Arabidopsis thaliana: one gene and its partners. The gene in region 3 interacts genetically with the main gene of each other region. Each region holds a gene or a part of one and is shown on either strand. Other genes may lie near its edges.

The links.
Region 1: of PIF4 (region 3) and PIF7, changing one enhances a phenotype caused by changing the other (phenotypic enhancement), as found in Arabidopsis thaliana (one study listed by BioGRID).
Region 2: of PIF4 (region 3) and HRB1, changing one suppresses a phenotype caused by changing the other (phenotypic suppression), as found in Arabidopsis thaliana (one study listed by BioGRID).

Annotation. Positions count from the first base shown.
Region 1 is NC_003076.8:24,634,691-24,646,185, forward strand, and holds PIF7 (phytochrome-interacting factor7), read right to left. Parts: upstream 6,076-11,495; 5' UTR 5,750-6,075; coding exon 5,748-5,749; exon of another isoform or gene 5,604-5,747; coding exon 5,183-5,603; intron 5,106-5,182; coding exon 5,001-5,105; intron 4,935-5,000; coding exon 4,869-4,934; intron 4,775-4,868; coding exon 4,391-4,774; intron 4,306-4,390; coding exon 4,183-4,305; 3' UTR 3,910-4,182; downstream 1-3,909. Other genes in the region: AT5G61260 (Plant calmodulin-binding protein-like protein), read left to right, coding at 2,419-3,909; AT5G61280 (Remorin family protein), read right to left, coding at 8,935-9,135, 9,222-9,303, 9,393-9,543, 9,649-9,912, 10,011-10,072, 10,189-10,220.
Region 2 is NC_003076.8:19,955,014-19,966,007, forward strand, and holds HRB1 (Drought-responsive family protein), read right to left. Parts: upstream 5,669-10,994; 5' UTR 5,410-5,668; coding exon 5,331-5,409; intron 5,241-5,330; coding exon 5,104-5,240; intron 4,630-5,103; coding exon 4,552-4,629; intron 4,461-4,551; coding exon 4,225-4,460; intron 4,141-4,224; coding exon 4,035-4,140; 3' UTR 3,859-4,034; downstream 1-3,858. Other genes in the region: AT5G49215 (Pectin lyase-like superfamily protein), read left to right, coding at 62-132, 215-861; AT5G49220 (hypothetical protein (DUF789)), read left to right, coding at 1,614-1,994, 2,221-2,438, 2,530-2,755, 2,835-2,920, 3,031-3,125, 3,217-3,440; APRR4 (pseudo-response regulator 4), read left to right, coding at 7,921-8,122, 8,348-8,500, 8,701-9,084, 9,199-9,338; AT5G49250 (Beta-galactosidase related protein), read left to right, coding at 10,330-10,932. UniProt on the Arabidopsis thaliana protein: Involved in both red and blue light signaling.
Region 3 is NC_003071.7:17,881,254-17,892,590, reverse strand, and holds PIF4 (phytochrome interacting factor 4), read right to left. Parts: upstream 5,794-11,337; 5' UTR 5,715-5,793; coding exon 5,524-5,714; intron 5,434-5,523; coding exon 4,779-5,433; intron 4,687-4,778; coding exon 4,606-4,686; intron 4,478-4,605; coding exon 4,412-4,477; intron 4,332-4,411; coding exon 4,014-4,331; coding exon of another isoform or gene 3,984-4,013; exon of another isoform or gene 3,876-3,983; coding exon 3,768-3,875; 3' UTR 3,504-3,767; downstream 1-3,503. Other genes in the region: PAO2 (polyamine oxidase 2), read right to left, coding at 1-33, 119-234, 607-646; NAC042 (NAC domain containing protein 42), read left to right, coding at 10,007-10,199, 10,623-10,897. UniProt on the Arabidopsis thaliana protein: Transcription factor acting negatively in the phytochrome B signaling pathway. May regulate the expression of a subset of genes involved in cell expansion by binding to the G-box motif.

The DNA of each region.
Region 1 (11,495 bases), on a different chromosome or scaffold from region 3:
AAGAAGATGGAAAATATAATCCAAAAAAATTAGAAAAGAGGAATAATAGAACTGAAACCTGCTTATCTTAACAAGCAAATGATGATTACAGAGGAAAAACTTATTAAGAAAACTTGGAGGCTTGTTCAATGATATAAGAATTATATTTCTTGGAAAATTTATTTCGAATTTTGAGTTGAAAAGTAAACCATTAGTGTTTGAAAATTTGTGTATATAGAAATTTTACTTAATGTTGGAGGTGTATTTGTTAATGATAATAATTTTGTTCCTAATTTAATTAGATTAGTCAAATGTTGGTGTCAGAGAAGCATGGATAAGGGCATTAGTTGACTTTTTGGATGATTTAATCATTAATTTCTAATTTTAATCTTGTAACCTTCATAAGTCATAACTAAATATTTATAATTTATGTTTCTCGAAGAGATGATATGAAAATCTGATTGAGAGAGAAAGCAGAATGAAAAAAAACCTCAAGAACAGAAACTGACCTCAGAATCAAGGATCCATGGAGAGAAAAAGCCTAGACTGAAGTTAGAAATTGGGACTTTTGATTAGTTTGAACTGTGGTTGGATCTCAAAACAGAGCAGAGGTGCTTTTTGTTCTTGGAGTTGACAACACTTCATCAAAGTCTCTCTCTTTTAAGCATGCTTAATCTAATTAAACCGTTTACACCAAACCGAAACTGTACCAATTTTTTTGTTAATTGATATTCTATTGAAAACCATGAGAAAGCAAATGTTACAAAGGAGCCCAAACACACATTTAGGAGAATCAGTTTCTAATCTAAGGAGCCCAAACACACAGTTTGAATCTAATGAGCCCAAGTTCATTGGCCCATAAAGAATAAAATCAAGTAACCCATCTTGACATTGTATTATTGTGGGCTCTGTCTTCTCAATAAAACATTTTTTGTTTTTGTTTTGCCAAATTCCATATCTCAAAGATTTATTTTAGGCTAAATCATGATTATCTTTTTCGACGGCCACATTATCTATATTTAAAATCATTTTCTTGCGATATAACAATTCATATATTTTTTGTTCGTGGGTCAACACCTTGATCTTATCTTATTCTAAAGAAATTACGAAAAGAATCTAGAGATGTTCATTGGCAAGAATCATTCTTTAGAAAAAGTACCAAAAAGACTTAACTTAAGGTATCGGATCCCTTAAATGTCATACATATGAATATGATCTCACAAAGTAAAGTCAGTTTATGTAAAAAAAGAAAATAGTTACAAAACTAATAACTCTTTGTTTTTATGTTAAAGAAAAATTATGGATTTTGTGCTTTAGCCAAAATATCCTCCGAGCGATTGGAATTCCTTGTATGATAATATACTTTTGAGATTTAATATAGTGATCTAAGGAGATTATAGATTGAATTTGTCAAATTCATTTTTCGTGACCGATTATTCATGCATTTTTCATGATTTTGATATATAAGAGAGATTAATGAGATTTTTAAACAACACCGATTTTTTATTAAATGCATCCAAGTGTATCAGTTTTATATAAATGAATAAATAGATTATAAAATTAGGTAAAACATTAAATAACAAATCGAGCCAAAGTAAATTAAATAACAAAATTCTTTAATATAAAAATCAGAATCTCCCTCTCTCACAAGACTTCTGCACAAGAAGATTTCTTCCCTCCTCTGTGTATTTTTGCGTGTTCTTTTCCTAACTAATCAAATCTACCTTTCTTCTTTCTTCATATTTGTTTCCAACTAAAGATAATTTGGGAAAGCAATTTTCTGGTACACATATATACATTTTTCTCATATTTTACTGTTTTCTTTGTTTTTTCTCTCTTCTTATTCTGTGGAAATTCTCTGAGAGTTAGATTAGGCAGCAATCTAAAGGTATCTTTTTTCTTAATTCTTGATTTCTTTTTTGATATACGTTTTTGGTTATTTTTGTGTTTGTTTGAATTGTGAAACTGTTGGTAGGGTTTTAAGCGTGTGGAGTATTTATTGCGTTACTGTGTAGAAATTAGGTCATTGTCCTTCAATCTCGATCAGAAGTCAAATTTTTTATCTAAAAAAAGATCGGAGTTTTTTTCATTGTTTTGTAATACAAGTGATTAATTTTCGTAACGGATCATGATCAAAATTCAATTTTGTCGTTTAGGTATTAATGTCATTGATGATCAACGAGGAAATATACACATATTTGATCATGACTCTTAAAGTCAACATTTGTCCTTCTTTGAATGTATTGAGTCATCTTTGGTAGATTTTTGTCTAAAGATTTGTTCTTTATGATGTCAAATTCTAGAATCTGATTAGTGAATAGGTAATAAAAGACAAAGAATCAGTTTAGAATCCATTAAATTGTTCTAATATGCTCTGTTCATAAACGTCGAGATCTTTTTGGTAATGCACTCTGTTTCCTCTACAGGTTTATTTTGTCAATGGCTGAAGAGAATACTTCAGAGGTCAAAGATATTGAGAATTCTTCCGATACAAACCCTCCGAAGATGTCTGAAGAAGGCTCTTTGGAAACAGTACGTGTAAAGGATGTGGAAAATGTGGAAGATGTTATAGCTGTGGTAGCCAAGGATCAAGAAGAGATTATACCAGAGATTATTGAAGTGCCTAAGCCTCAAGGTGGGACTTTGAGACGCCATTCGACTGGAACGATAAGTAAACCGCAGGTTCAGTCCCGTTATCGTGGGAATCATCGTGTGGGTTCGACTCATGATTTATGTAAACATGGGAAGAAATGTGATCAAGATGATGCTGTGAAGCCGTGGAAGATTGCAAGGAGAAAGAGTGTTGAAGGTTCAGTTGTGATCAAAGTTGAGACACCAAGTTCGACAAGGAAGTCATTGGGGAGTGTGAGTAGACAGAGTCCAGGTATAACCAAACCGGATAGTTCTGTTTCTGCAAAGAGAGATGCCTTGGCTGTGAAGAAAAAACCATGTGCTTCTGTGAATTCAGAATCTAGCTCCAAAGAAGGTAGTGAGATAGCGAAATCTGTTGATGGTTTAAGCGTTAAAAGCAATGATAGAGCGCGGAAGAATAAAGAAACCGAGAGTGGTCTGAGTGGTTCAGCTGTTGTTAAGAAGGTTCCTGCCTTGAGAACTGATAAGTCAAGTACTTCTACGGGCGTTGGAAGTTCTAAGGTTTGTGCTCCAAAGAATCTGAAGAATGTGGAGAAGGCAAAGACGACTCAGACAATTAGCGGTGAAGATGTAAAAGAAAAGACTGTGTGTGTTGTTGAATCTAGCGTCAAAGGTGTTAAGAGTGAAAAGCAACCATCATCTGAGAAGAAAACCATGAAAAGTGGGAATAAAAGCTTGAGTACTACTCCTAAACGTGGTTCTAGTCCTACAAAACAGATTCCTGGTAAAATCAGTACCGGTTTGACTAAGAAGAAAGAAACTGGCTCTGCAGACGTTGTTGAAGCAAATCCAAAACCGGAGAAGAAGGTTAGGCCTAAGAAGACAGGAGTAAAGGTGAGTCTAGCTCAGCAGATGACTTTCAAGAAAGGAAAGGTTCTTGATCCTAAACCCGAGGATTCTTCTCCGAGATGGATCAAGTTCAAAAAGAGGGTGGTGCAGGAACTGAAAACGCAATCCGAAGGGAAGAAGAAGAATCTTAAAGATAGAAGATTGGGTGTTGAGACGAAAACAGATTCTTGTGAAGGAAGTAAACGTGAGAAAGTTGTTCTGAGGCATCGAAAAGTAGAAGGGAAGAAGAAAATGATAACATTGTTTAACAATGTGATTGAGGAGACAGTGAATAAGCTAACAAAGGTGAGGAAGCACAAAGTGAAAGCTCTTATTGGTGCTTTTGAAACTGTTATCTCTCTTCAGGACACTAATAAGACATCTCACAAACCTCAGAGCAAGGCCACAACATCTGCTTCTAAGGTTAGACCTTTGGTCTCCGAACAATGAAAGAAAGAAAAAAAGACAAAAGTTTATTTGTGCATATGATCTATTAACATTGAAGATTTTAAACTTCAAGAGCGACCAAGAGATAATTTTCTTGTTACTGTCCTCGAAATAGCAAAGGGTTTAGTAATGTACTTTGACAGTTACTGAATTCAGTTGTGAAGCTTTCAAGTTTTATCTGCAAGTCTTTTTCCATACTCAAAACAGTTTTTACAATCATGATACAACAATCTTTCAAGAACTATATATATGGATCAATAATACTAGGTCGCTAGACTAATCTCTTTTCTCATGATTCGAAGAACTTGAAGGCATGCCGATATTTACCTTTGTTGTTTGATCAGACTGTTGTCTATAGATAGCTGCTGCCATTTTATTGTAGAGATCCATATTCATTGTCTGCATCAGCATGGCCAATGGAAGTGAGCTCAAGATTTGTATATCTTTGAACACTTTTCTCGAAAACAGTTAAAAGCGGTCTTACCTGTGCGAAAAAGGCGCTGTATGGATCAGATAATGTGGCTGAAGAACCGTTGGTGCAGTCTCTGTTACCCATAGGAGGGACCATCATTGGTGGAGGAGGAGGAGGAGGAACTAAACCTCCATAACCATTTCCACCACCTCCCATTCCCATTCTTGCCATTGTTGCAAGCAACGACATCTGAAACTGTTGCTGCTGTTGTTGCTGCTGCTGCTGCTGTTGTTGTTGTTGTTGTTGGTGTTGGATGCTGAGAACTGACTGTGGTGGAGGTAGTTGCGGAATCATCATTTGTTGTGGCAAGTTGGCTCTTAGGCTCATGAACTGTACTTGTGCTTGTAGCTGTTTCAAGTGTTCGATAACATCATCCAAGATTGAGACTTTATCCGCCTGCAATATCCGAATAACGCGTTTAAACTGACCGATATCAATATAAACAAAGTTCTTAAACTTAAAAGTGGGTTCTTCTAGGATAGACATTTACCTTACTTGCAGTAGGAAGCAGCTTCTGAAGTGTTCTCATCCTCTGGTTTATCCTATCACGCCGTCTCTGCATCAAAACTCAGAGTCAGTAGTTTGGTAATCACGGAAAGAGAAAAGATGGATTAGTTTTTACCCTTTCGGACTCGTTGTGAATCGCTGCTGCTCGTCCCCGTCGTCCATTAGATCTACCTGCTTCTCCTCTTGTCTCTTGTTCATCTCCTTCAGTATCTTGAGTTTCCTATTAAAGTCCTCTTTTGGTTATTTCTCCAGTCATCTTTCAGGAAAAAAAGGAAGAGTAATTTTGTTAGTTGTTACCGATCCAGAGCGGAAATAGTCTCTGTCTCCGGTTCTAGCTGTCTTCAAGCTCCGACCGGATTCAAAAGACGCCCAAGACATATTGGTACCACTCGCACTTGCAGTGACGCTGTGGCCAACTCTATGGCTCTCCTCTTGAACAGCGAACCATCGGTCCATTTCTTGAGGATAACCGCGTTTTCTTGAACAAGATCCATCCTTGCTCTCATAATTGTGGTTTGGACCATTCGGACTCTGCAGCTGAAACTTGCTTGGCTGCTGTAGAGCCGCTTGATGAACCACAGACTCCAAAGTCTCACAACCGTTGAGACTTTGAGTCCAAATAGGGTTATTCGAGGTGGTTGGTTCTACTTCGTCGCCTAGACCATGAACGGTTAGTTGCCCATTTTCCCATGTGAGCTCTTTAACTCCATAATTCGACCTGAGTCACGAAAAAAAAGAAATTGGTTTTGTGTTAAGACTTAAGAGAGAGAGAGAGATAAACAAAAAAGGACAGAAGCGTAAGGTTTTGTCTCTTTTTGGTGTAAACAGAGAAGAGTTCTTTATCAGAAACAGAGAGAGATACATGTGTTACTTAGGCCGCACGTTTGCAGAGAATAAACTGACAATTAAGCTCTCTTTTTTTTTGTTCTCTCTATTATTGGACCTTCTCTCTTCTCTCTTTCTTCTTGCTTGAAATGTTGAGTTCTTCTTTCTTCTTTGTGTGTTCAAACTCTTGACAATCACAGCGACAACTCATGCGGTGTATCTGCCTTTGATCCATATTGAAAGTTATAATAAAGAGGCCTCTCTCTCTCTCTCTTCTTGTCTCCTCTTTCTCAAAAATGGTCCCTGCAAAACGTCAAATGGTTTTTATGTGGACGAAGCACATGTGTGGCAAAGGATTGTTTGTGTTTTGCCACTCAAGTCCAGAATCATCTCTCCTGCTTAAGGAAAAAAAAAACTAATAAAATGAGGGCATTTTCGTCATTTCTTCACAACCGACTCACATTGACATGAATGTGTTATTGCATGCATTTGACTACTCGGTAGAAAGCATAGCAAAGCAAAGCGTGTGATTCACCGATTTAGAAACAAACACATTTCTAATAATAGAATTTATTATTATTATTTAAAAATGTAAATTTTTATCGTTATACAGTATAATAAACGTAGTTGAAATATATACATATATGTAGACGCATTAAAGAATAGAAAACAAGATATATTTATTGGAGTAAACACGTAAGAATCCGAAACTATAGTATGGTATTCGAATGTCAAAAATGAGAGTGAGATGTGAGGTTGATGCATCAACTAGAGATATTTGATGCAAGTTGCTAGGAATCAATCAATATGTTCTCACTTCTCAGCCTCTTTTAATCACTTCTTTAATTTTTCTCTGTCCATTCCCATCTCACAATATATCAAATGACTTGTTCATATGATCACCATAAAAACATTTTTAAAAAGTAAAAAAAAAAGAAAAGCATTTTTAAGAAGTTCATTTTACAAAAAGTAATGTATGGGAAGAAAGTTTCTAGTCTACCATGGGAGAAAGAAGAACAAGAATAAGAAGAAGTTTTTTAGATTTCTCAAAGAGATATCTCATTGATTTCCATGAATAATTGAAGCAAAGATTGTTCTTACTTGTTTCTTAAAATGACATATTATGTTTTTCAAATTTTGATTTCTTACTGTAGTTAGTGTTTATATTGCTATCTAAGATATTTTTATATGTACTCTTCAAAATGGAGCATCACTTATTAAATTTCTTATAGGACCTCATGTGCACTGGTCCAGAGATTACCTAATACATAGCCGTCTAGGTAGTTTTGTACGTAAATAGGTAAAAATAGACGACTTTTTCAATCATTGGTTCAGTACTTTTGTATCAGATTGGTTACAACTTGCAACCATAAGTTGAGGCTTATAAGCCTTGTTTGTAGTGGAACAACAAGTTGATATGAATGAAATATGTGATGTTGAGTCAGAAGAAAAGAATACGAAAACTATAAAGTACAGAGAAATGGATAAATACGGATCAACCCCTTTGTATTGTGAGATTTTCTTTCCCAATCATTTGATGTCACATCAAAATCTTAAGTGATTTCACCCACTCCGCTCTCGAGTTACGGCCGACAGCTTCAAAACTGATGTCGTCATAATGACACGTGGAAAGATCTTATTGGATGGTTTTTTGGGACCCAGTGTTGATCTGTGAAATTCAGCCAATCAACTTCTCGCATTAGATTCTTGACAGCGAATCCTAACGCTCCTCAGAGTTATCTGTTCAATTTCAAGCTTTTTTTTTTCTTTGATGTTCAAACTCTCTTTTATACGAATTAGATTCTTCACATCAATTGTTTTCTGCTAATCATTTGATTTATGATAACTTATTCTTTGATCACTAGTTGATGGTAATGACTGTATTGACCAAATGATGTTATAGATTTACATAAAACTAAAAAATAAATAAATAAAAAATACATTAAACTACAAATTAAAATTAAATGTCACTGTCAATGTTCTTTTGATATTTGAATGTACTCTTTCAATTAACACTCGTAGTTTTCCGTGAGACTTTACAAATTTGCCTATGCAACTCAACACAAACCCGAAAAACAATTGTTACTTATCAAAATTAAAGAATATTAATATGGTTTCAATTTATCATAACAAGTTTTAGCTAGAATCCTAAAGTCGTCACTTTTGTAATATAAAAGCAGAGGACATGCATGTGTTCATGTATGTGTGCGTACGTGTGAGAGATAAAGAGGTAGATAAAAAGTGAAGAGATTGAAAGCTTGATTGAGCAAAGTTTAATCAGTGGATCTTCCGAAGAATTTTTAGGATTTATTTTAAGGATTCGTACTTGTTAACTATTCATGTGTTCTTTCATTTCAAGTTTCTATTTTTCTTAAGTCTTTCAAGAACACACGAGTTTAACAAAGTGAGAAAGATAGCTTTTATATAAGAAGAAAACATCATATTTATCAAGTTAAGTGAGTTCTACTTTTAACTAGGTAACTATGAGAAAGTTATATAGAATGTATTATGTTTATAAATGTATATAACATTTGAATTCATTACAAGGTCACGCAACGCGTATCCATGGCATAGGATCGGTGAACTTACTCTTTGCATCATAAATTGAAAGGACACACATCAATAGTTGGTGAATAAAATTTAAATCGTCGAAATTCTATTGATTGAGACTTGTACAACGACAATATATATTACAAATTTTCCTAATAAGAAGAGAGGATAGTAAATGTGAATGGTCCTGGCCACCACATAGGTGTTGCTACGTACCAATGGAGAAAGAAACTTCGGGTAAGAGAGTAACTTGGTTGGACCAAAGAATGCCTCATTTTCCTTTTGAGAGCATATCACAAATTGAGTTTAACGATCTATCAAAATCCTTTATGGTCCCTTTTTGGTGTTTACTCGTCTATAATATGATACATTTCATGTGTGAAATATGGTCGAGAGCGTGTGTAAACATCGACTATCACATCAATATTTGATTTTTATGGAGTATAACTCCATTTTATTATGATATTTGACATAACAATTAAAGCTTAAGAATTAGACAGATCTTTAGAAAAGAAAAGAAAATAGGGAATTAGGTTGAGAGACAATTGAAAACTGCAATATTATCCATGGTGATGATATCTACCAAAATTTATAATTATAGGTACTTACTCTTTATTTATGATTTGAGTTTAACACATACAAATATAGTTTCATTGATATAAGTAATTTTGATTTTAGTAACACCGAAAGCAGAAATAATTATTAGGAACTTTCCCTGTTCGACTCATTTTCTTTACTTTTCCATGAACTTGAGCTTCTTTGCTCCTTCTCTTCTCCTCAAGCTGTTTCTTGGCTCCATCAGCTATTAGTTGAATCCTTGCTAATTTTGACTTATAATGCTGATTATTAATCCCTTTTCTCTTCTCCAATTCACTCTTTATAAAACAAAATAATATATTAGCTAGTCGTCTGAATTATATGCATTAAAAAAAAATGTTTATTCACTAGATAATGAAATAACCTTTCTTTTCTCCATTAACAGTGTAGCTGCTAATTTTCTCTCATTCTCCCAACCCACAATATCAGCTTTCATTTTCTCATACCTTCAAGTAGAGTTTATTTTCCAGATAATTATAATAAGTAATGGTATTATATATACTTTTAATATTAATAACTAAGAATGAATTTTGACCTTAATCTTATTTTCTTGATTTGAGATTTTTCCCAAGAATCTGCTTTACTTGACGCTGAAGCAAGTCCTGATGTTCCGGAGGATGAGCCAATCTCTTGTGGCCGACGGTTTTCTGATGGATACTCCAACAATTTTTTTCTGAAACTCTCCTCTGGGGGAAGAAAAACATATCTATTACGATACATGTGTTTTTATTTCAATATATAAGCCAAGTATGATTACAAAAATGGTAGTAACCACTTAGATTAATTATTACCTCCAATTTTCACCTCTTGTGTATATGATTTGCTTAACCTCTTTACTTGGGTATTAGGTATAACCAGATTGGATTTTTTGGTCCTTGACCTCTTGATTTCTTCTCTTATTCTTTTCGATTTTTGTTTATCGGCTTCTTCCATTGATCTAATGACGAATGCAGCAACCGCAACAGAAACTGCCAATTCACTCTCTTTCTCGTTGTAGTAGTCATTTTTCTCGTACCAATATGATTGGTTTTTCAGCCAGTTTAATGCTGGGTAATCTTCAGATTGATATTGACAAAATTCAAAATTTTATATACATTCTTTATGAATCTTTATAAAAAAATATGGAAACAGATGTCAAATAAGCGTAAATTACCTGTTATGTCCAATTCTGATAGCATTGGCAAATCCGTTTTTATGTTCTCAGAGATTGAGACCCTATAAAGATCAAGAAAACAAAAACAACCGTTTTTGAGGGATACAATATAATGTGATTCTTATCAAAAAGATATCTACAGAATTAATATAATAAAAATGAGATTTTGGACGTGTACCTTCTTCTTCTTTGCTTAACCAAATTATCCATTTAATTTTCCCAATTAAGAGACTCCAGTATTGTTGAGCTTCCTATAATCCTATTTTGCCTTTGTCTTATATTAATTGTTTTGATTCTTGAATACCACGACAACGAGAAAATGTGGTAATTTTGTCTTGAAGCAAAAATAAGTAAATAAATAAATAAGGTGAATTCTTTTTCCACTGAACAGGAACATGCCAGGTATCAAAACATGTGATTTTATATGCTAATCTTCATGTACATATTCTTTCCACATAACTAATACCTATGTAAAAGCCACCGTTTCTTTAGTAAAATCTTTTGGTTAATTTAATGACGCTCTGTCTCTCTGAGTGTTCTAAAAGTCTCAATCGCTGGCTGGTTCAGGTTGAATTGAACCGGAAATTGCTAATTACGTGAAGATGGGTTTCTAGATGGGCTAATGCCCAAAATAGAAGCTGGCCCAAAAAAAACTGGTTGCCTTGTTATAACAGACGAAACAAAGAGAATTTACAAATTATGATACAAAAATTATTTAGTCCACAATTTAGTGCAAAATAATGAAATAACCGCAGCCAGTTATACTGTTATACCATGGGTAAATTTGTGAAATTACCATGATACAAAAAAGTGAAAAAACGAACAAACTAACACTTACATACAAGTACAATATATTAGGTGCATACATATACCCATTTGGACAATATTAATATGTGGTTAACAAAATAGACCAAATTAACACCCACTCCTTCTTGTTAACCTCACGTTATAATTATTTCAAGAAAATTTAGATTTCATCATTTCCTGTTGTTTAAAAAAAATTATAATCTCATACGTGTTAGTCCACAGCTTCGGAATTAAAACAAGGTTCGCTCTGTTTTAGGACTGAGTTTCGACGTTTCTCCTGTAGACTGGGTTCTTCTTCTTTCTCTGTTCTTCGTGCTCTGTCTGCAGGTGGAAGACGAGTCTGTGCTGGGTTTTTCGTCTGGGCTTCTGAGCTCTCTGCTTTGTTTCTTTTTGGATTCAAGGTTTTTCTTGTTTTATTTTCGGGCATGTGTGCTTGGTTGGCCCTAGTGGCTTTGTATGTTTTCAGGGCCTATATGTCCTTTTGGGCTTTTGGCCTTGTAATGTTTTAATGGAAATATAAAATTTTAAAAATAAAAAAAAATAGAATTAATCATAAAGCTCTCTCAAAAATATGTCATTTACAATCACACCTAAACGATTCTGCACCAATTAAGGTTTCATTGCTGCTCAGCAACTCTTTTCTTCTTTCTTTTTTTTGGTTTTGCAAGAGTTCCAAAA
Region 2 (10,994 bases), on a different chromosome or scaffold from region 3:
CTTATTATTATACCTCCTTTGGTTTTGAAATCATTTGGTAACCTCTTGACTCGTTTTGCAGCAATTTATACATTCATAGAGTAACGGCTAATACTTGTCCAGAATCTCCTTATACCATCGGTATTGTCCCAGGTTAGTTGTTATTATCCAGATATATGTGTAATTTGAAACAATTTGTTGCAGCACTAAAATCTCAAACTGTTATTTTTTTCAGATTCTTCTGAAAATGTGTGTATCCAAGAATCTAGTATCAACATGGGGTATGATGCCATTTCTCTTAAAAGTGGTTGTGATGAATACGGTTTATCGTATGCAAGACCTACTGCTAATGTCCAGATAAGAAATGTTTACCTTAGAGCAGCTTCTGGTTCCTCCATTTCCTTTGGTAGTGAAATGTCTGGTGGTATATCTGATGTTGAGGTCAGTGATGCTCACATACACAACTCGTTATCCGGGATTGCCTTTAGAACAACAAATGGAAGAGGTGGTTATATTAAGGAGATTGATATTTCCAACATCCATATGGTTAATGTTGGTACTGCATTTCTAGCCAACGGTAGCTTCGGTACTCATCCGGATTCTGGTTTCGATGAAAATGCTTACCCGCTTGTGAGTCACATCAGGTTACATGACATTGTTGGAGAAAACATAAGCACTGCTGGATATTTCTTTGGAACGAAAGAGTCTCCTTTCACTTCGATTTTGTTATCGAATATCTCTCTGTCGATTAAAAACTCGGCTTCCCCTGCTGATTCTTGGCAATGCTCATATGTTGACGGGTCTTCGGAATTCGTAGTCCCTGAACCGTGCCTTGAGCTGAAGAGTTTTGATAGTTACTATGGTAGAGCTGAGGCCTTATGAAACCAAACTTCATTAGGAATGATGATTCATATTTGTTTAAGAGAGAGCAAATGGTTCTGATTCTTTTCTTTTCCCCAAAAATAAACCACAGTGTGTAGAATTATTACCTGTTCCTTGTTGGTGTTGTTGTCCCTGTTATTTGCAGCTTGTGAGATTAATATATCTTGTACAGGTTCATTTCTTCATTCATGTGTAACCAAAGAAATTTTGTATTAGCCCAGTAACCAGATATTAATTTTTTTAAATATTTGGGCCTCGTTAAAAAGCCCAGCCCAATAACAAAGAGCTGCTTCGTAAAAAGAGACGTCACGAAACCATTCGCTTACCAAACCACACAGAGACACATCTCTTCATTTTCCAACCATCTTCTTCTTTTCGCCACACCCGTAAATATTTACTTTTTCTCACTATGTTCAACTTATTATTATTAAATTAACTAATTTAGTGTATGCCACTAGAATTATTTTTATATAAAATATTTTTCATCACCTTCCTGATTAGATAATAATATAATCAAAAATTCACCCATTTCCTTCATCTTCCCCAATCTCTCTAAAACCCTAGAAACTCACTTCCTCAGTTTCTCCAACTCTGTACTTCGTATCATCAAGCGAAACCCTAAAAGAAGCAATCTTTAGTCTCTTCTCTTCTTTATTTTTTCTGGGGAGAAAGAAATTTCACTTTTTTTTATCCGATTTCTGCTTCATCTGGGTTTTGGATTTTTGCGATCGATTTTGAGAAATTAGCAAACAATGTCGGGTTCTGGAGGAGTTTCAATCGCACGTACAGCGATCCGTGGTGAGAATCGGTTTTATAATCCACCTCCGATGCGTAGGATGCAGCAAGAGGCCCAATTGCAGCAACAGATTAGGGAGAAGCAACGTCGTGATGATGAAGATGAGGTTTTGATGGATAAGGAAAGGAGAAAGGCTGCTACTGTTGCTCCGAGGACTACTAGGAAAGGTCTTGGTGTGTCGGAGAGTAAGAGTCGGGTTGTTGTTTCGGGTTCGGAAGTATGTGCCGGTTCTTCTGATTCTTCTTCCGGGTCGGGTCGGGTTCTTAGTGATGGGTCTAACTTGGATCGGTTCTTGGAGCATACTACTCCTGTTGTTCCTGCTCGTTTATTTCCCATGGTAAGCACTGTTTTCAAATCTATTGGGTCTTGATACTTATTCTGTGTCTGTTGTGGCTACTTGAACTTGATACTATAGTGTTCGTTGTGTTTGTAATCTCTGTTTGATATTATAGAGTTGAATTGGAGAAGACTTTGAGTTTTGTCATGTGATTTAGTGTAGAACTCAGTTGATTTTGTATTATGGCTTATGAGCATTGCTTTTTGCTGCAATTTGTTTTGTGTAGAGGAGCAGGTGGGAACTTAAAACCCGTGAATCGGATTGCCATACGTATTTTGTTTTGGAGGATCTTTGGGAGTCATTTGCTGAATGGAGTGCATACGGTGCTGGTGTTCCTTTAGAGATGCATCCTCTAGAAATGCATGGGAATGACTCCACTGTGCAGTATTATGTGCCTTACTTATCCGGTATTCAGTTGTATGTTGATCCGTTGAAGAAGCCTAGGTTAGTTGTTTGATATGTATATGATTTATTGCGCGGAAGAACTCCAGGATTTTTTACATTTGACGGTTTTGATTATGGTCTTGTTGAATAGAAATCCAGTTGGAGATAATGAAGGAAGTAGTGAAGGAAGCAGCAACAGTAGGACTTTGCCGGTGGACTTGAGTGTCGGTGAACTGAATAGAATTAGTCTGAAAGATCAATCTATTACTGGCTCGTTGTCTAGTGGAGAAGCTGAGATCAGCAATCCGCAGGGACGATTACTATTCGAGTACTTGGAGTATGAACCTCCATTTGGCAGGGAACCTCTGGCTAACAAAGTAAATATCCTCTTAAGCAAAGACAGTTAGATCATTATTAACTTTCAATATTTTCTAATAAAGTTTTCATACACACCAGATCTCGGATCTCGCGTCAAGAGTTCCTGAGCTAATGACATACCGGAGCTGTGATCTTCTTCCTTCAAGTTGGGTCTCTGTGTCATGGTATGTTTCATGTGAACCTTCCTGAGTCTTGACTCTTGGGATCGTTACATTTTGGAATATATGTGGAAATGGATTTGAAAATATTGAGTTGTGAATTTGTTGGTGTGTAGGTATCCAATATACAGAATACCGGTTGGTCCAACACTACAAAATCTTGATGCCTGCTTTCTAACTTTTCACTCTCTCTCAACAGCACCTCCTCAAAGTAAGCACCCGATGACGTAATGGAACACAATATCCTCTTATGTCCTCGTACTTGTGATCTCTTTCTCAGTGTTGTGTATGTATTGGAGCAGGTGCTATGGGTTGTAGTGATTCACAACCATCCACAAAGCTACCGTTGCCTACTTTTGGACTCGCATCTTATAAGCTGAAAGTATCTGTGTGGAACCAAAATAGAATTCAAGAGTCCCAAAAGATGACTTCTTTGCTACAAGCTGCAGATAAATGGCTCAAGCGTCTGCAAGTTGATCATCCAGACTACAGATTCTTCACCTCTAACAGTCCACAAATGAGGTGAAAATGAAAGATACATTCTTGACCATGGATTTGGCTCTGGTCTGATCAAAAGACCCATTATCTGCTGCTCTTACTTCACATATAAAGTCTCTCTTACACTGAAGAACCACCAAATAGTGGTTAGACTCTTGCGTGTTTTTCAGGCGATTTAAGAGTCTCTGCTGTTTCGTTTCCAGAAGATGCTTTGTGAATTGTAGCCTAATCTTCCTCTTTCTTCTTCTGAAACTTAGTCTTTTGATTTTCCCTGAATAAGGATTTGAGGAGCCCATATAGTGAAATTTGCGAGGAGTGTTTTTGTAATGTTGAGATGCAACACTTTTTGTGATACAATTTGATTGCTGAACTGATGAAACACAGGGTTGGCTTATAAGTTTTATACTGAAAAGTTTTAAGCGTTGGCTAATTTTACGAGTCCTGAGTAGAGTGAAATAGTACTTATATATCTTCTGATTATGCACATAAAAGATACCCCACGAACATCCGATTACAACATACTCAGCATGCCATTATGCTTGCTACAAGCCTCTGCTACATACATTGAGACTAATGTATGATTTCTTGATACATTGATTACAATATAAGATATCTAGATAAATTAGAACTTGTCTTCAAGCATGGTTGACCAAAGCAAGCCCCGCACAAACTTGCTCTTCTTTGCCTTCTCTTGATCTTCGTTTGAGAATGATTCTTGTTGTATTTTGCTGTAAAGGAATGATAAAAACAGGCACTGTGAGAAAACAAACGGAAGCGACACATTTTTTTGAGAATACAGTATGGAATTATACCTTTTAGAGGTGTCCTTAGGTGAGACTTGTGCTACCGAGTCTCCTTCAGTGATAGGTATAGCCGAAGGGGGTTTAAACATAAAGGATGAGAGTAGAGGATCAGAATCTATATTGGAAGAGGGAATGAAAGTGGAAGACCCTCCAAGAGACTGTAAGTTAGCTTCTCGAAGCTCTTTTTTAAGAGTAAGATAGGTAGAGCTATATCCACCTTTACGCAACCTTCTTCTTCGCTGCACGTAAAATCTCTCACGTCAAGGAATACACAAAATGACTCTTCAAACTCTACTAAAACCGTTAAAAGAGAATATCAAAGTTTCAAAAGGATATCTTAAATACGTTCCCGTGTTGCGTTGTTATATGGCCAACAATGTCCAATCCCACCTTCTTTGTGCAGACAGGACAAACCTAGTAACAAAGCAAAAACATACTGTTCTCACATCAAAGATAGCACATAAGAGAACCTAAATAACTTTCTAATCCAGAAGCACTGCGAGATTACAATGCTCACTTGACTAAGCTAAACACTGCGTAAAAAAGCAACCTTTTCCATTACAAGCAAGTTTCACGATTTGGAAATCAAACCTAAGTATAAACATAATCAATCTAAGAATAACATGTAAATGTAAAATGCGGATGATCATTTAAGCACTCTGTTCTCATATCAAAGATGACACATAAGAGACCCTAAATTACTGATTATATAATCTTCTACAAATGGTAATTACAATGCTCACTTGATTAAGCTAAACAATGGGTTAAAACTGAAAAGCAACTTTTTCTATTTCAGGAAAGCTTAGAGATTTGGAAATTTAAACCTAAATATAAAACCTAAGAATCATCATGAAACTCTTGAAATAAAAAAAACTCAATGAACATTACCCCATTCTTAGCTTCAACAGGATGATTCACATCAATATGACAACAAAGACCAACAATATCAAACTCATCTGCACAAAAAGGACACATAAACTCAGCTTTCAAATCGTCTTCTCCTTCAACATCTCCCAAATACAAATCTGCGTCAAAAAGTGTTAATCACCATCAATTCAGAACAAAGGATGAAACTTTACATAATCAATCTACCTCAAGCATTTTTTTAAACAAACCTGATCGAGATTGGTAACGGCGTGAAGAAGGCGATGATGAAAACACAGGGGGACAATTGATCCATGAATTCGAATCCATTTCTTCTTAAATTGTTAAAGATTAGGAATACAAAAGAACAGAGAATTTTAAAGGAGATGTTGAATCTAAATTAGCCAAACCCTAGAAGTAGAACGATGTGAGAGGTAGAGAGAGAGAGAGTGGAAACAAAGAGCTGTGACCAGAACTACTACTACTGGTTCGGAGTTTGTTTGAGTATTTACAGTCTTGACCAAACCGAAACTAGTGGTAGTTGTGTTTTGTACTGCGTTCATTATGTTTCACTTTCACACGTGTGACTTTTTCTGGCTCGTGTGCTTTTTGTTTTTTCCTTCCTTTTTCCATCTAATTTTTTGTATCCAAGTTTTGGTTTTAGTAGAAAAGTGGATAGCAAATGACATTGACATGAACCACTATTTTTTTAAAAATTCTGACAAAAAAAATATATTAGCAACCTTGGTTTTCTTGATGTTGGGGAAATATTTAAGCTTTTTAATTATGCTACTATTATTTTTGATAATGGTTAATCTACTACAAAATTTTTATGGAGAGGAATGTGTTTTTTTTATATAATTTTTTACAATATAAAATATTAAAATCAATTGATCGAGCATTGTATCTTTTCTTGATCGGACATACTATTATAAGCTTCGTGATTTGACGTGTTGAGTCCCAAGGTCTTTTGACTTTGACTTCGACCATATCTCATGTTAGAATCTTTGAAACTATACCCTAGAGCTCAAGACATATATCGAACGAAACTTCTGATCAAAAAAGTTTTCCGATTTTTCTTCTAAGATTGATTAAGGAAGTTTTATATGAACCGTATTTTTCCTACATTTCAAGAGCTTTTGATCAATATATAAGCAAGGAGAAGTGGGAGAACAGTACAAGGTTTAAAAGCAACTGAAAAGGAGAGTCACCTAAAGTGATAATTAAAAAAAGAAAGCAACTCATAAAAATTGTTAAACCGGTTGCTAACGACGATGTAGAAGGTTTTGGTTTACATAAGTTTTACATTAATATTGGTATTAAAAAAAAAAAAAGTTTTACATTAATATTTGAAAAGGAAGATATTGTTCAAGAGAATTTTATTTAAAAAATTAATAAGTAAGGCTCTCTAAGACTTTCTTTTTTTCATAAATTAAAGTATGATATTACCTTATAAGATTTTAATCCTAACAATGTTTCTTACAGTTATCATGGTTAACTTCACTTTTAATTTAGTCTTGTTATTTTTTTTAGAGCCAATATCATATGAGTTTTTATAAAGTAAATATATTATTTTAATACTAAAATTTATGCATGCAAATTTTGTAAAGTAAAAATACTTATGGTCACGCACAAAAAGATCCCCAATTTCCTTTTTTTTGTTAAGAACAAAAACAAACTGGTTTTTTTTTCTTAACAAGTATTTTGGTTTTTTATTCATAATTCGAACTGAAATTAACATAAATGTGATACTTCATCGTTCATTCATTTACTTATGATTTTTTAAAAACTGCAATTTGTTATAAAAATTAAAGGTTGTTGGAGTAATTAGTGAAGAATATCTCTATTAAAATTTTATAGAAGTAGTTTGATGCTTAATTCCAACTCTTTTTTTTTGTTGACATATTTCTCAAAACCATTTTTCTGTCATTTGTTTTCACAATTTTCAATAGCTATTTCCTTTTGTTATTGATTAAATATCTATTCATTTCGACCAATTTAGTTTCATCCGATCTCTTAAACTTTTGTTTCTGTTTGATTTTTCTCTTTATATATTTTCATATCACTAATGTTAACTTCGAAACTCCTTATGATAAATCCACTAAAATATTTTAAATAAAAATTCAAAAAAGAAAATACATGAAACAAAATTACAAATTTTGAATTTTTGAAATCAATAAGGAAAATTTGGATAGTAATTTAATTTTGACACAAGAGTCATTTCTCTATATAGCAATTTTATGTTTATGAGTGTTTTAAACTGACTGGTTGAGTTTTTATAGCAAAATGTTTAGTTTGTTATATTTGATAGTTAGACATACATTAATTAGTTGAGTTTTTACCTCACAATGTTTATAGTTTTTCTAAATTGTAAGAATCTTATTCCTTTTTTTTTTTTTACCTTTGTTTAGCTTTGGATCTAACTATATAAATTAAATAAATAAATAAAAGCTTAGAGGATCCATTTTAATTTTGAAAAACTCAAATTATGATCATGAAGAAGCTTTGCAAAAAGAGATGAAGATCGTGATAACGGTTTTATTAAAACGAATAGATGGTGGCGTGTTATCTTAGGAGAGGATTTTAATTGTTTTAACACATTATAGTTTTTAATTGTTACGATTTTAATTTTTCAAAATTCTAAATCTGTTAACAAGATGATGATTTTGGGGTCCACCTCCTAATTTTACTCTTAAAAATGACATTAATATTTGTATAAGATAATATCAAAATTTGATCACAATCTTTAAAAAAAAAAAAAAAAAAAAAAAAAACAGATTTCTTCAGATTTCCTTCGTTTAAAAGGCCGGACACCTTCACAAAAACACGCAGAGTGTTTATATGCAGCCATTAAATATGGCTGAGATATTGGATCACCGTGGAGTCTTGACCGACGGTGATGATGGTCCATTTAGAAATCTAACAAACTTCTATGATATGTTTTCAAGCAACTTTCCTGAAGGTTTGCGAGTGTTAGTCTTCGATGAAGATCCATCGTATCTTCTGATATTGGAGAGACATCTCCAAAAGTTTCAATACCAAGGTAGCTATTTAACCATTTTCGAAGTTGATCTAGTGTTTATTTAAGTCTATATTCAAAGCTGGTCTAACATTTTCAAATGTATGAAAAAGTTTTGTTCCCCTTTTCATATAGTCGTTGACAAAAAAAAAACCTAAAACATTTCTCCCAAATTTTGACCTATATTTGAGGCCATGACATGCTTTGGACTAGATCTCTCCATATTAATGGCGATGTGTATTTTTGCAGTGACTATATGCAACGAAGTGAACAAAGCTATGCATACACTCCGCAACCATAGGAATAGGTTCGACCTCGCTATGATACAAGTAAATAATGCAGAAGGTGATATATTCCGGTTTCTCTCGGAAATCGGATCGGAAATGGATCTTCCAATCATCAGTAAGATATCTAATCACCCAAGAACAGAGCACATAAAGCTCTAATCCTCTTTACTCATCAATCATCACGCAGGATGTCTTTCTCTCTACTCTCTCTTACTATTTTATAAGCGTATCATAATTTTAATAAAAATGTCATTTCATTGAACTAAGTGTAAATTCGATATGCAACAAGAAAACACACCTTTTTTTATACCGCAGTAATATCTGAAGACGATTCAGTGAAGTCGGTGAAGAAATGGATGATTAACGGTGCTGCCGACTATCTTATAAAACCGATAAGACCCGAAGATCTACGGATAGTATTCAAACATTTGGTAAAGAAGATGAGAGAAAGGAGGAGTGTGGTGACCGGAGAGGCAGAGAAAGCAGCAGGTGAGAAATCATCCTCTGTCGGAGATTCCACCATAAGAAACCCTAACAAGAGTAAAAGAAGTAGTTGCCTTGAAGCAGAAGTCAACGAGGAGGATCGTCATGATCATAATGATCGTGCTTGTGCTTCTAGTGCCAAGAAAAGACGAGTCGTTTGGGACGAGGAGCTTCACCAAAACTTTCTCAACGCCGTGGATTTTCTTGGACTCGAAAGTGAGTCACAAACACTAATATTATTGTTTATAATTACCATTCCCAATTTATTATATATACTATACCTCTCTATATTTATATAATAAATGTGTGAATAATTATATTTTCATGCAGGAGCTGTTCCCAAAAAAATATTAGATGTTATGAAGGTTGATTACATCAGTCGAGAAAACGTAGCCAGTCATCTTCAGGTAACGTTTCTTATATACAACATAATTGTTCATTTTCAACAACATTTTTGCTTTTATTCTTGAATAGCATCTCCATTTTTTTTATACTTCAAAATGGAGTAAGATTTCAAATCTATTTAGTTATTGATTTTCAGAATGACCCTTTATAATTTACTTATGAAAATTACAAATTCAACCCATATATTTGTAATTTTACCTTAGTTATGTTATACTCTGATCCCTCATCATTATAAGTGATGTTTAAGGTTTCTACACATAAATTATGAAAACATAAATCTTTCATTTAATATACCTCTTTTACATAGAAACAAAACTAAATAAAATGAATTCAACCAATTTGAAAACATACTCTAAAATATAATTGGTCGAAAAAAACAACATTTAGATATTGAATTATTGCATAGAAACATGAGAGCATCACTTAAAATGAAACAAAATAAATTTTCTTAAACATCACTTAAAGTTATACATAGGGAGTAGGTAATATATGTCATTTTAATATTAAAATATTAGTTAACCACATAATTAACATTATTGTTTATATGTTTTAACTATGAGATAGTAGCAAATAACTTTATTTGAGTATAAAGTAAAAAAAAACTATAATTTAATGGATTGAGTTACAAATTTTTTTCTATAAAACTAAAAAAAAAATAGTTTTTAACTAAAAGGATAGATTAAAAAACAAAAAACACACCACGAACCCTTCCAAACTTTTTACCTCACCTTGCATCGGTTTCAGGTTGCTCTTCAGATCCAATCGAAGAAGGAAGGATGAGACATTGTGCTCTTCCCTTCTCCCACTCTTTCCCTGCATCTCCTTGGACACTCCCTTCAGATCTGCTTCCCTTTGTAGGAAAGGCTACGAACCCCTGGAACCTCAACACAACCACGGTCAGAGTCTGCCCCATTTTGGCATCCTGAAGTGAACCTAGGGTTTTCCCCAGTGGACCTAGACTCTTCTGTTGGCCCATTACCTATAATAAGGTCCAAGCCCACCTGCTGGTTTAATCATTCTAAGGCTTTTAATCTTAGGTCTGAACTCATTATTCTTATGCTTAGCCCATTACTTTCTTTGTGTCGATCTCCTCTGTTCTATGGTCATGGACTCCATGTGAAAGAGACATCAACATTGACGGTTTGGGTTTTCATTTACCTTATGCGAACCTTGGTTTTAGCTACCTTTAAGGCTTTATGGTATCCTTATAAAGAATTGAAGATTGTTGTGCTAAGTTCCTTGAATCGTTCTTATTGTTGTGGCATTTGTGGTATTGGATTATTCTTTTTCGTTGCTCATTTGCCACTAAGCAGCTCACTTTTCGTCTTCAAACACTGTACCCTCTTTATCATCTCCATCTTCCAGACCATATGCTTCATAGTCTTTGCCGCTATTGACCGGAGAGATCCTCATTCGAGTTGGTTTCTAAAGCCACCCTCACCTGACTATCGCACCATAGTCTCCCGAATCCTTGGTATCGTGTTACTGTGGGTAATGAAGCTTGCTCCGGCGAGATTCATATCATTGATCCGTTTGTCAATGTCACTATATCCTTCGACTGTGACTAATCCGTCGTCCTTCGAACTCTTCGAGGATGATCTCTCGATTTACCGTGACCTCTCATGGTGCATTGCGCTTCCTTGCCTTTTCCAAAAATGATATTTTCACAATTTCTCTTTACAATTTCCTTTTTTTTTTTGTGGTCAACCGATTTTGCATGT
Region 3 (11,337 bases):
ACCAATTCTGTCACGGGACTCCAGTACCATAACCTAAACACCAAGAACCACACCGTGAGAAAGAGATATCAAAATCAGCTATCAGGATATATTGTATAAAACATGAAACATCACAAACCTGAAAGGAAGCATCCTGAAGAGTGCGAGCAGCTGAAATCCCACCGAAACCACCTCCGATCACAATCACGGAGGGCGACCTTGTCTTCATCCTCTCACCAGCTGAAAAGCAATTAGCTATATGAAAACAAAGCACACGAATTAACGACCGTCCAAAGTCCAATAAAGTATCAATTCTTCTAACAAAGAAACAATAGTGATTATCAGAATTAAACAACCCCACAAAAACAAAACTTGTGGCAATCAGCAGATACATCCAAACAAGTAAACGCCACGAAGGAATCAAATCACCGACAGAGAATTCAGCACGAGGGATAAAATTGAGGACCCATTAAAAAAAAAATCAAATTTTGTTTGATAAACCAAATTACCCAGATTATAATCTAGAGTAAGAACCCTAGATCCTTCCTATACATCAACGATAACAATCCGTAAGCGATTTCACAAAAAAGTAACAGACTTTTCGATGGAGGTTGAAGAAAACAGTACCTCTACGCATTTGACGATCAGAGTTTTTCCTGGACTCCATGATTTTTTTTTCAATTGATCAAACGATTACTCTCGAGATTATTGGAATTACGATTACTATTATTATTATTATTATTACTATTAAGCTGGGGAGAGAAATGAAGAATAAAGATGAGAAGACAAGTCGTGAAGTGGCTCGAAATCGAAGATGAAAAAATCAGGCTTCCAAACAAATTCATGCGATTTTCTTCAGGATTTTTAAACCCCCTCTCTGTTTTTGGTTTTTGTTCACCCTGTTTACTCAGCCGGACAGTATCAACGCAGATCTACGACGATCGGCGATATCTGATTCGTAATTCAAGCGAGCAATGGGGGCCAAAGGATCAAAATTCCCAGAAAAGCCAGAAACGAGGAAGAAGAGCTAGAGAGAGAGAGAGAAAGATGAAAACAGAGAGACTTCTAGAGAGAGAAAACAAAAAAAGGTCGGATTTTTTAGGCTTTGGGTCGGTAAAGTAGGTTAGGTTGTAATTTATAATAACGCATATGCTCCCTAATTATCAATATAATTATTAATTTTCTTATTGGATATAGATCTTTTATTGTAGTTTTTTTAGTAATTTTTATTTATTAAATACCTTAAGATTAATTATTTAATTATTTTAATATTAAAAGAGTTAAATTCAGTCAAAGATTTAAGATATACAATTAACAATTTCAAGATATGAACAAATTATTGGTAAATAATTTAGAACTAAAATTAGATAAGTAGTTCATTTCTATATTATTTGCTAATTATATAGCTTCTAGTATATGTTAATATTACTTTTTCAAAATTTAAATATTTTCTTTTATCAATAACAAAAATTGTGAATTTAGTTCTCTGTTATCACGTGTTCGTTTCGGTAAGCTTGATAAGTTACGTAACTTATCAAGTGGTCCAGTAGGAGCACGTGTCGTGCATTTATACGTTTTCCATCAAATTAAAATGTCAACACGTCAGCTTTTATGTCTGTATCTGGTAAATAATAAATATTTTGTTTCTTAAGACCTGACGATGTAAATTCTTTTAAAAAAGGTTTCTAGACGATTCTAATGATTTTAATAGGTATGATATTGATAGCTATGATGAGTTTCGTAAGAATTGAAGACGAACTTTTACCATAAAATTCCAACGTTTACTGGATTTTTATCCTTTTTTTAAGAAATTTTTAGTTTAATTCCATGAGCTATGATTTACGAGTAAATTACTCAAATGCAATTTAAAAACTCAAATACTTAAATACAATTATCTGGGCTTGATGGCTGAGTTTAGTTATTGTTAAAGCTAATATTTTTTTGACATTGATAATGATTTTGAATTATTGACATGATGTTATAACTTTCTTAGTAGTTTTTTGTGTGGATAGTAATAAAAATGTTTTTCTAAAGATAAACAAAAAAGTGGTGGTACTATTTGTGTAGCTTTTTTCTGCTGATACTATTTGCGTTTCTTTTCAAGCAAAAAACTACAATTTACAATGGATTTTGATAAGTGTGCGATATATACAAAATTAGATCACATGGAAGATCAGTATTCCTATAATCCTATTTCTCTTCTTTATTTGAGATGGTGACATTGGGTAATACAGTTGTCGAATCATTTGCTATGGGTTACATGACTGGATTCTCAAACCTCACGAAAGTCAAGAGAAATGAATGGAGGATCTCACTACATAGAAACTAGAGGACTTCAAAATCTATCTAGTCCAGATGAGTGACTATATGGTTTTGGTATTAGAAAATCATTATCTATTGTGATACTAGAGGCTAGTGCTGTAAAGACGGTATGACCAAGATTTAAAACATACAGAAGAAATCTCTGGTACTGAAAGAGAATGTGAAACGAACTAAAAGAATCTATGCCAAATGAAGTCCAAGAAAGAGATTTTACTCCGTAGAGATCAGTGAAATATCATTGCTTTTTTCATACAAAAAAAGAAAGAAATATTATTGCTTTTGACTTTAGTTTACGGAAGATCATAAGTTGGCCGGGTCGATCAAGTCGATCAAACACAAAACAAAAGTCACGATTATAAACAATCCACTAAAATCATATCCGTGAACTACTCCTGCTCCAAACCAAATCTTGAATGAAATGGAAGAAACTCATCTTAGCATTTTAATTTAATAGTATATGATTTACATGATTTGAAGACCAGACACCTATTGATGAAGCATATATTATATATTATTTTTATTTTTTTGTATTTCTAGTGATATTTAACACATTTTTTATTTTGCCACTAAAATAATGTTATGTGGATGTTCCACGAAGATTGAAACATGATTGATGATATGGGTGTCTCTGTCTGAATGTATGTATCCAACCTTTGATCGGTTCAACTTTTACTATTGTTAAGTGTTTTCGATCGACTATTTCAAACTTTGGAATAAATTTATATATGAAAACAGTATGCAAAAATATCTAAGATATTTAACTCAATTATTGCTAAATAGATTCTGACCAGTATGCACATGGCTTAAAGACTTATAATGTCGATGTTTTTGACAATTGACACATGACTCTCACTCAAATCTGGCTCCATCACATGTGATTTGGCTTTTTCCATCTATACATAATTTTAGACAATCAGCAAGAAAAGCTTATGTTATGATTTTTTATTTATTTATGGAACAATATGAAATCATAAGATATTAATATTTTACCAAACTCTAGCCAGACGGTTGATCATCTGTGTTTTTCTTAAAGTTTTTTTTTGTGTTTCTTATTTTTTGAATATGAACATATGATTTCTTATTAGGGGAACAGAGAAAAATTGAATGGACTTTTAGATACATCTTCAAAATTAGGTGTGATCTATAATCTATAAGTGTCATCTAGTTCTATTTTCGAAAAAAATTTCGATTACTTAGATATATCCTTGTTTTGATTAGAAAATAAACTGCATCCCAAAGTTTTTACGATTACAAAAATCACATGTCCTGTTTTTAAGATGTTGTTTACAAAAAATCTCATCATGTCATTTTGACATACATAAACTCACATATACAGAAAATAACGTAATGAAGTTGCACGTTTACTCTATAATAATACATCCTTGAACGTTTTAAGTATGTTCAGAAAGATAGATATAAAAAAGAAACATACCAAAAATAAGGAAGTAAAAAAGTGGCTCACCAACCTAGTGGTCCAAACGAGAACCGTCGGTGGTCTTCGTCGGCACAGACGACGGTTGTTGACTTTGCTGTCCCGCCGGTGAACTAAATCTCAACATCTCCATCGGCTGCATCTAATAAAAAACCACACAACGTGTCAACTAAAACTACGTCGGTTTAACATTTTTTCTTATCTCGTATTAATGTAGTAAACCCAAAAAACATTTTACCAAAATCGTCGTTTAATAAACACGGCTTCGTATTGGCCTTACCTGAGTCGCGGCCTGCATGTGTGGGAACCCACCGATGTATCTAGCAAACCGGTCGGAGATGATCTGGTTTTGTACCGGGTTTTGGCAAACTAAACCGGGATTGTTCTGAATTGCAGACTGATCCATAACCGGAAATCGAGGTAACTGTACCGGGCTCTGTATCTGACGTATGAACTGCTGAGGTTGAACTCCGGGGAACATCATCGGAGCCGAAGCCGCCGCCGCCGCCATTCCACTCCCCATCCACATCACTTGAAGCTGTAACTGAAGTGATTTCAAATAATCTATGGCTTCGTCTAAAATCGAAGCTTTATCAGTCTGCAAAAACACACCAATGAATGAATCAATCTTCATTTCTTAATCTGATTCACTTTTAGATTTGATTTGTATCAACTCACTTTACTGCAGTGAGGTATTAGTTCTTGCAAAGCCTTCATTCTCTCATTGATCCTATCTCTCCTCCTCTATTTAAGTTATGAAAAGAAGAAAATAAAAAACAGAGTTTTGTATCTGTTTTCTTTGTATAAATGTTATACGATTCTCTAACATTAAACTATATATTATATATTATATAGACGAACCGATGAAGTACCCTTTCGGAGAGATTATGAACTTCAGCTGCTCGACTCCTTCGGTTTGATCCTGATCGTTGGTTCGACTTGTTACCGATTGCCTGCAAAATGTATTATGTATTACTCTCTGAGATAGACCAAGATTACGTTTTCAAGAAGTAATTATCATGAGTTAGAATTAAAGGAAGCATACATCTGATAGAGATACAGATTCGTCAGTGTGATTTATACGTTTTCTCTTACGGTCGGTTGTGATGCATCTTCCACTAGCCATTTCTTTGATATCTTTGCCAAAGCTGCAACCAGAGGAGCCACCTGATGAGGAACTTGCGTTCGGATTAAGCTTTTCTTCTATGTTTTTGCTTCGATCATGACTCATTGAGACATCGAGATCGTTCTGTGATGGGTTGCTTCCGCAATGGCTAGGTCCAACGGTCGTTACCGAGTACTGTTCCATTTCTGTTTCCCTAATCCCCGATGATGAATTTGTTAACCTAAATTTTGGAGGAGGCATGACTTGAGGAGGAGGGTCAGGACAGGCCTTAGGCTTAACCATGACTTGAGGAGGTTCAGGACTGGACTTAGGCTTAACCGTCTCTGAGGTTGGTCTCTGGAGGGGATCCATGGTTGAGAAGAAGTGGGAGGAGAAGTCGTCGGGTTCGAATGGGTCTTCATCTGGAGGGTATTGGATCCAAGAGACAGTTTCTTGATCTTCAAGAAAGGTGCTGGATCTTAGGGCTTCTTCATGATGATCTTGTTTCTGGGTTTGGGTTTGTTCTCTATGAGTTTGGCTCTGCAGAACCACTTGTCCATCTCGCCATAATAACTCCACTAGTTCATCTTGTGGCCTAGACATCAATACACACACACACAGACTATATTATAAAGTTTTTTTTTTAATGAATGAAAACATTAGATCAAAGATTATTAAATAATACCTGATAGATCTTCTATTAGTGGACAAACTATAATTCTCCTCAAAACTCCAACCTTGGTGTTCCATGTCAGATCTCTGGAGACATTTCAAAATAAAAAGAAAAAAAAGTTTTATTAACCTCAGAATATATTTTATAGCACTAGTGAACAGAGCTAATGATAACTTATGATTAAGAGATACAAGGAGGAGCATATATAAAATCGAATTTTATAATTCAGAGTCCTAATAGTTTATTTACTCTAATCATTATAGAATGATTTTAAAATAATTAAAATTTAAAGCAAGTCCATGAGTCCGTTCTCTTGTTAAACATCTTTTTTTATATTCTGGCAATCTAGGAAAGCTTGCAAAATAGTTATTTCCAAATATAGCCACATCTTATAAAACCAAAAACCCGTATAAAAAGAGTACTACTGACCAGATTAGGAAAGCTTCTGGACGAATCAGAAGTTGAAAGAGAAGATCTATATAACCTGATATGTGGAACTAGTCCAAGTTCCACGCCCAACACAACTCTCTATCTCTCTCCTCTCACTCTAAGAGACCAGAAAATTGTTGAGAAACAACTCACAAAACATGAAAGAAACAGAGAAGAAGAAGATGAGAGAGGTTCATTACTTCTTTTGGGTACAGACAGAAAGTGACAGGAGCATAAAGATATTACAGCGAGGGAGATAATGATTCTCTAGGGACAACAGTACTGCAATCTTTTGAAATGAACGACACGTGGCAAGTTCTGGGACATTGTGTTGGAATCAGTGGGACACATACAAGTGAAGATCTCTCTCTTCTTTTAAGCGATGAGATCTATTGCTTGATTTTTAGAGGTGGTTTCTTATCTGTACCTTATCTAAAAAAACTCTGAAAACAATGATTTGAGGGTGTTTTTGTCAAATCACAATCATCTATAGCGTTATGGTTTTTGTCGATACCTTTCTCATATATACCAAAATTATCTTTAACTTGACGTTTTATTCTTCAAGTCTTTTGCTATACGTCAAATTTAATTACGTGTTTGTTTGTTATCTACGATGTATATAAAAGATGATTTATTATCCGAGTTCAATGCTCTCAACGAGTTTATAATTGTTCATATCATCGTTTTTGGCGTTTATCACGTTGCATTGAAAGGGCACCCTTGGCTTAATAAGAAATACAAAAGAATTTCACACAACATACTACTACAGTTAGTTTCTGATAACCTTAATCTTTTTACTACTCACCTAATAATGTTTTTTTTGGTTGTAAATTGGAAAAAGATCTAGTATGTTCTTCGATGATTCATTTCGTTTTAAATAGGCAATTAATTCTGTTGTCGTAATAACAATTATTAGTGGACCATTGTGCCTACTTGTAATGGACCATATCCCATACCGCGTCTCGGTTTGTATTTCTAAAATCATCACATTAAAATAATATACTTCATGCTAAGTTTTCCTGAAATGTATATCATTAATTTCTATAAATTCCACATGAAGATTATTATTTTTTTAATTATTCTCTAGCAATGTGGTTTTAAAATATAATTTTGACCATACGGATTTCAAATTTTCATAGATTGAAATTGTGATAGCCAAATACAGGACGCGGAATGAACGGATCAACAGAACAATGACAACCAAACTGCAACTGCATTTTATTAAAAATTTAGGTGACAAAAACATAAAACATTAATTTTCATACTATAGTCTTCAATTATGTGTACCAGGTAATTGGAGTGGTACGCCCGCTCGAATGCTTCGGCCCCAAATGTGTTTGGGAAACATTCACACGAATGGTTTATTTTTGTGTGTCGAATAAATATTTAAGTGAAGTAGTATAGTAATAGTACAATATTACTTTTTAATTAATAAGACAGTCTAACTAATTTAGCCTTTTTATATTGTTGTCAGTCAATCATACCTATACTCTGTCGTGTACTGAAAATTCGTGATGGTGTTACGGTGTATGTAATTACTGATTAGTAAGATATTACTTTGCTGAAAAACATAAATTGTTTCAGCGCAGACAGTAACAATAAAATACTATTGGGCCTTACTGTCTAAAAATAATAATAAAATACTTATGGGCTTCTGAGTAAAGCCCAAACACTACACTTTGTTGTACGAAACGAGACCCAATATATTTTCTTAAGACGAAAAGAAACTTGTCGGCAGATTGGCGGCGGAGAGGAAGGAGAATTGAAGACTTGTTGCGGCGGTTAAAATAACTGTTGCTCCGCCGCTTCCACCGACCTCATGATAAATGTGGAAATTCATAAATGTAAATCAAAATGCCAAAGTTTTCTACTTTTCTTGCTGTCTTTCTAATTTTGATTGTTGTTTAAATTTTCTTTGTTGTAAGTATGAACATTCCCTTTTTAGAAACCTGATACTGATTGATACCATTCAATGTTTCCCTCCTTTTTCATGTTGAATAAATTTAGAAAAAGTTTATGAAGTTGAAAATTTGGATATTATGTTCCTTTGACTCTCTTCCTTCTTTGAAAACCTTTCTTAATTTGATTTTGTTTCTCTTCCCGAGAAGATTGGATGCGTACTGATATTGTTGTGGCAACTTTTATTACTTTGGTTTTTTTATAATGAGTTTTTATGATAATATTCAACAGTCAAAATCAGGACTTTGAATGTTATATAGATCAAATGGGTCACTTTCCCATTTGGCACAGGAGCTAAATCCTGGCTAAGTTATCGCCTGTACCTTCTTTGATAGTTTATTTCTCCTTGCCGTCGTTTTATACATCTTCTAAGGATTTCTGTCCTTTATATTTTGTTTGATATATAAATAACCAATAGCCAAAATGATTCTAGAACTTTTTAAAAATGAATTTGTTAAGGCGGTGAGAAATTGTCATGGCAAATAAACTCGAAAAACAACATTGTATTTGCTAAGTTAATTATTAAAAGTTTTCAGAAAATGTATATTAGTCACGAGATCAAATAACTTTGTCGAGTCGACCAAACTTTTTTTCTTGGACTATTTTACTAATCATTCCATCTATTTTACTTTCTCGTGAGAAAAATGTTAAGTGGAGTGGGTACTGACTAATTATGAGATCATTTAGGTGTCATCCTTAGATGAGCATGATTTAACTTATACATAGTTTCTACCAATTTCTTATCTACCAAGTCTGATCGGCAACTGTAAGAGTTGTTGTAAATAATAAGTAGAAAGTTGTGTCGTTTAGTCAAGATAAAAATATTCGTGTGGCAAAAATATGAAATAACTATGTTATACGTTGATTTCAACTTTTTAGATGCTAATATAGTGTGTGTGTTTTTATATAGTTAATCTGATCAGTAAACTCCAAAGTTCATTTGCCAATTCTCTATCACTTACTGTACTGTTACTTTTTATATTTATTGTTTTAGTTGGAAACAATTCCACAAAAAAAAATATATGTTGATTGATCCAAAAGAGTTATTAAATATTTCGGATCATAACAGGAAAAGTAGTAATCAGAGTGCTCTAACTAAGTACACTTTGGAATGCAGTTGAAGGAATTGTTTTATTGATTTGGTCTACCATCTAAGTTTGTGTTTGGCTCCCGGGTATATATCAAAATAGTTTAATTAGTCCACAAAGGAGGGCATATATAAAAGTTATCCTTTGGTTCCTATGTGAATCTTATTTTAATAGTATCTTTTACTACATCTTTTCAATATTTTGGAAAATTATTATATGGTCCAACCACGTGACTTCACCTATACGTTTTTTTTTTTTGGACAAAAACTTCACCTATACGTATGTATTGAATTTGCAGTTTATTGATAATCTGATGTAATTACAGTATAATACGTAACAACTACTGATAACGACATGTTTGAATTTCAATTATATATTACATCATACTATAAAATTAGTTGCAATAAATGATTTAATTATTTTCCGATGTCCTGGACTTTTCTGCATAACATAGCCCACCAATATCAAAATTATTAAACTATAAACAAATTTAATTCTTTTTTTATGTGCTTGTAAAAAAAAAACTTTCAAACACAGCCAAAACAAGTCTTAAGACAAAATAACACAAACTTAAAGTTTGAAAGCAGAACATTCGGATCATTAAAACAATAGACCTAAATTAAATTATTTTAGGTTTTGGAGGTTTCAGATTCTCTAGTTACAACACAGAAACACACTAATTATAGGAAAACTATCGCATTCAAAATATAAAATTAATATTTTGTTATTAATCACAAAGACCATAAGAAAGATGGATGAATTCATTCTTATAGAATAAACCAATATTAAATAAAAAATTTCTTTAAAAATAATACCCGTAAAAGATTTTAATACTTGGGAAAGTCTATAAGATCTTGTGTGCATAATAATAGTCAAAGTCATTCGTAATTGACCAAGCACCAATTAAACAGGCAAAAAAAATAATCAATAAATAGATAAATATTTACTATATATATGTATAGAGAACTTTTTATAAAGAATGACTTGATTGGTGTTCTAAAGAGATCGATGTAGTGAAGATGAGTGGCGAAGGTAACTTAGGTAAGGATCATGAAGAAGAAAACGAAGCACCACTTCCTGGGTTCAGGTTTCATCCGACGGATGAAGAGCTTTTAGGATACTATCTTCGAAGAAAAGTAGAGAACAAAACCATCAAACTCGAACTTATCAAACAGATCGATATCTATAAGTACGATCCTTGGGATCTTCCAAGTAAGTCTTCTTAATTATTGGATCATCCCCTCTATAAATATCAGCATCGTATATTATGATCAACTCATTACATATAGTTGTTTTTATTGTTTTTTCTACTGATTTTATCAAGAAATTAGGGACGTCCACTTTGAGATCTTGTTCGAATCAAAACGATAAAAAAAAAATTTGTATTTTGAATGCGATAAGTTAGTACATTTCCATATACTTATGATATGGGACCATCCATCCATACGAAGATCAGGTCAAATAAAATAAAATTTAGTATACTTACACAGAAATATCGCATAGTGCGCCTTTATCATCATCGCATGAAGATATAGAACACGAACTATGTAATGAAAGGGTATTTTATTTAGTTTTGATTTTCTCTAAACAATTTTCCACGAAATTAATATGAGCAGTTACTGTGGATTTTATTAGGAGTGAGCAGCGTCGGAGAAAAGGAGTGGTACTTCTTCTGCATGAGAGGTAGGAAATACAGGAATAGCGTTCGACCAAACCGAGTGACCGGTTCAGGTTTCTGGAAAGCCACTGGTATTGATAAACCGGTTTACTCCAATCTTGACTGTGTTGGTCTCAAGAAATCTCTGGTTTACTATCTTGGTTCAGCCGGTAAAGGCACCAAAACCGATTGGATGATGCATGAATTCCGCCTCCCCTCCACCACGAAAACCGACTCTCCAGCTCAACAAGCAGTGAGTTGTTTTATTTTGAATCATTTCATTTTATCATAAACTAATCTTTTTGAACAAATAACAAATTAACCGGTATGCATCAGACTAACCCATCTTGTCCACTTTTAGTGAGACAAGTTTCTAATATTCGTGGTGTTAAATGCTTTAGAAAGTCAGTCACGAATGTACATTTCCATACGAGATAGAGCTACTGAGAAAGCCACATCACATATTTTCTTTCCACAAAATGGACCCAACTTTTTGTTAAAACTAGACCAGAGTAGACTTAAAAACGAAAGAATCATGAGAGTAGTATTCTTTGAGATATGTGATAAAGTTAGTTCACGATAATCCTAATGGAAGTTACTTCACAACCATTTTATGGAATTTACAGTGGGTCAAATGTGTTCATCTAGTCAAAATTGATATCATTTGGTTTGAATCAACAAAAGTATAGCCAC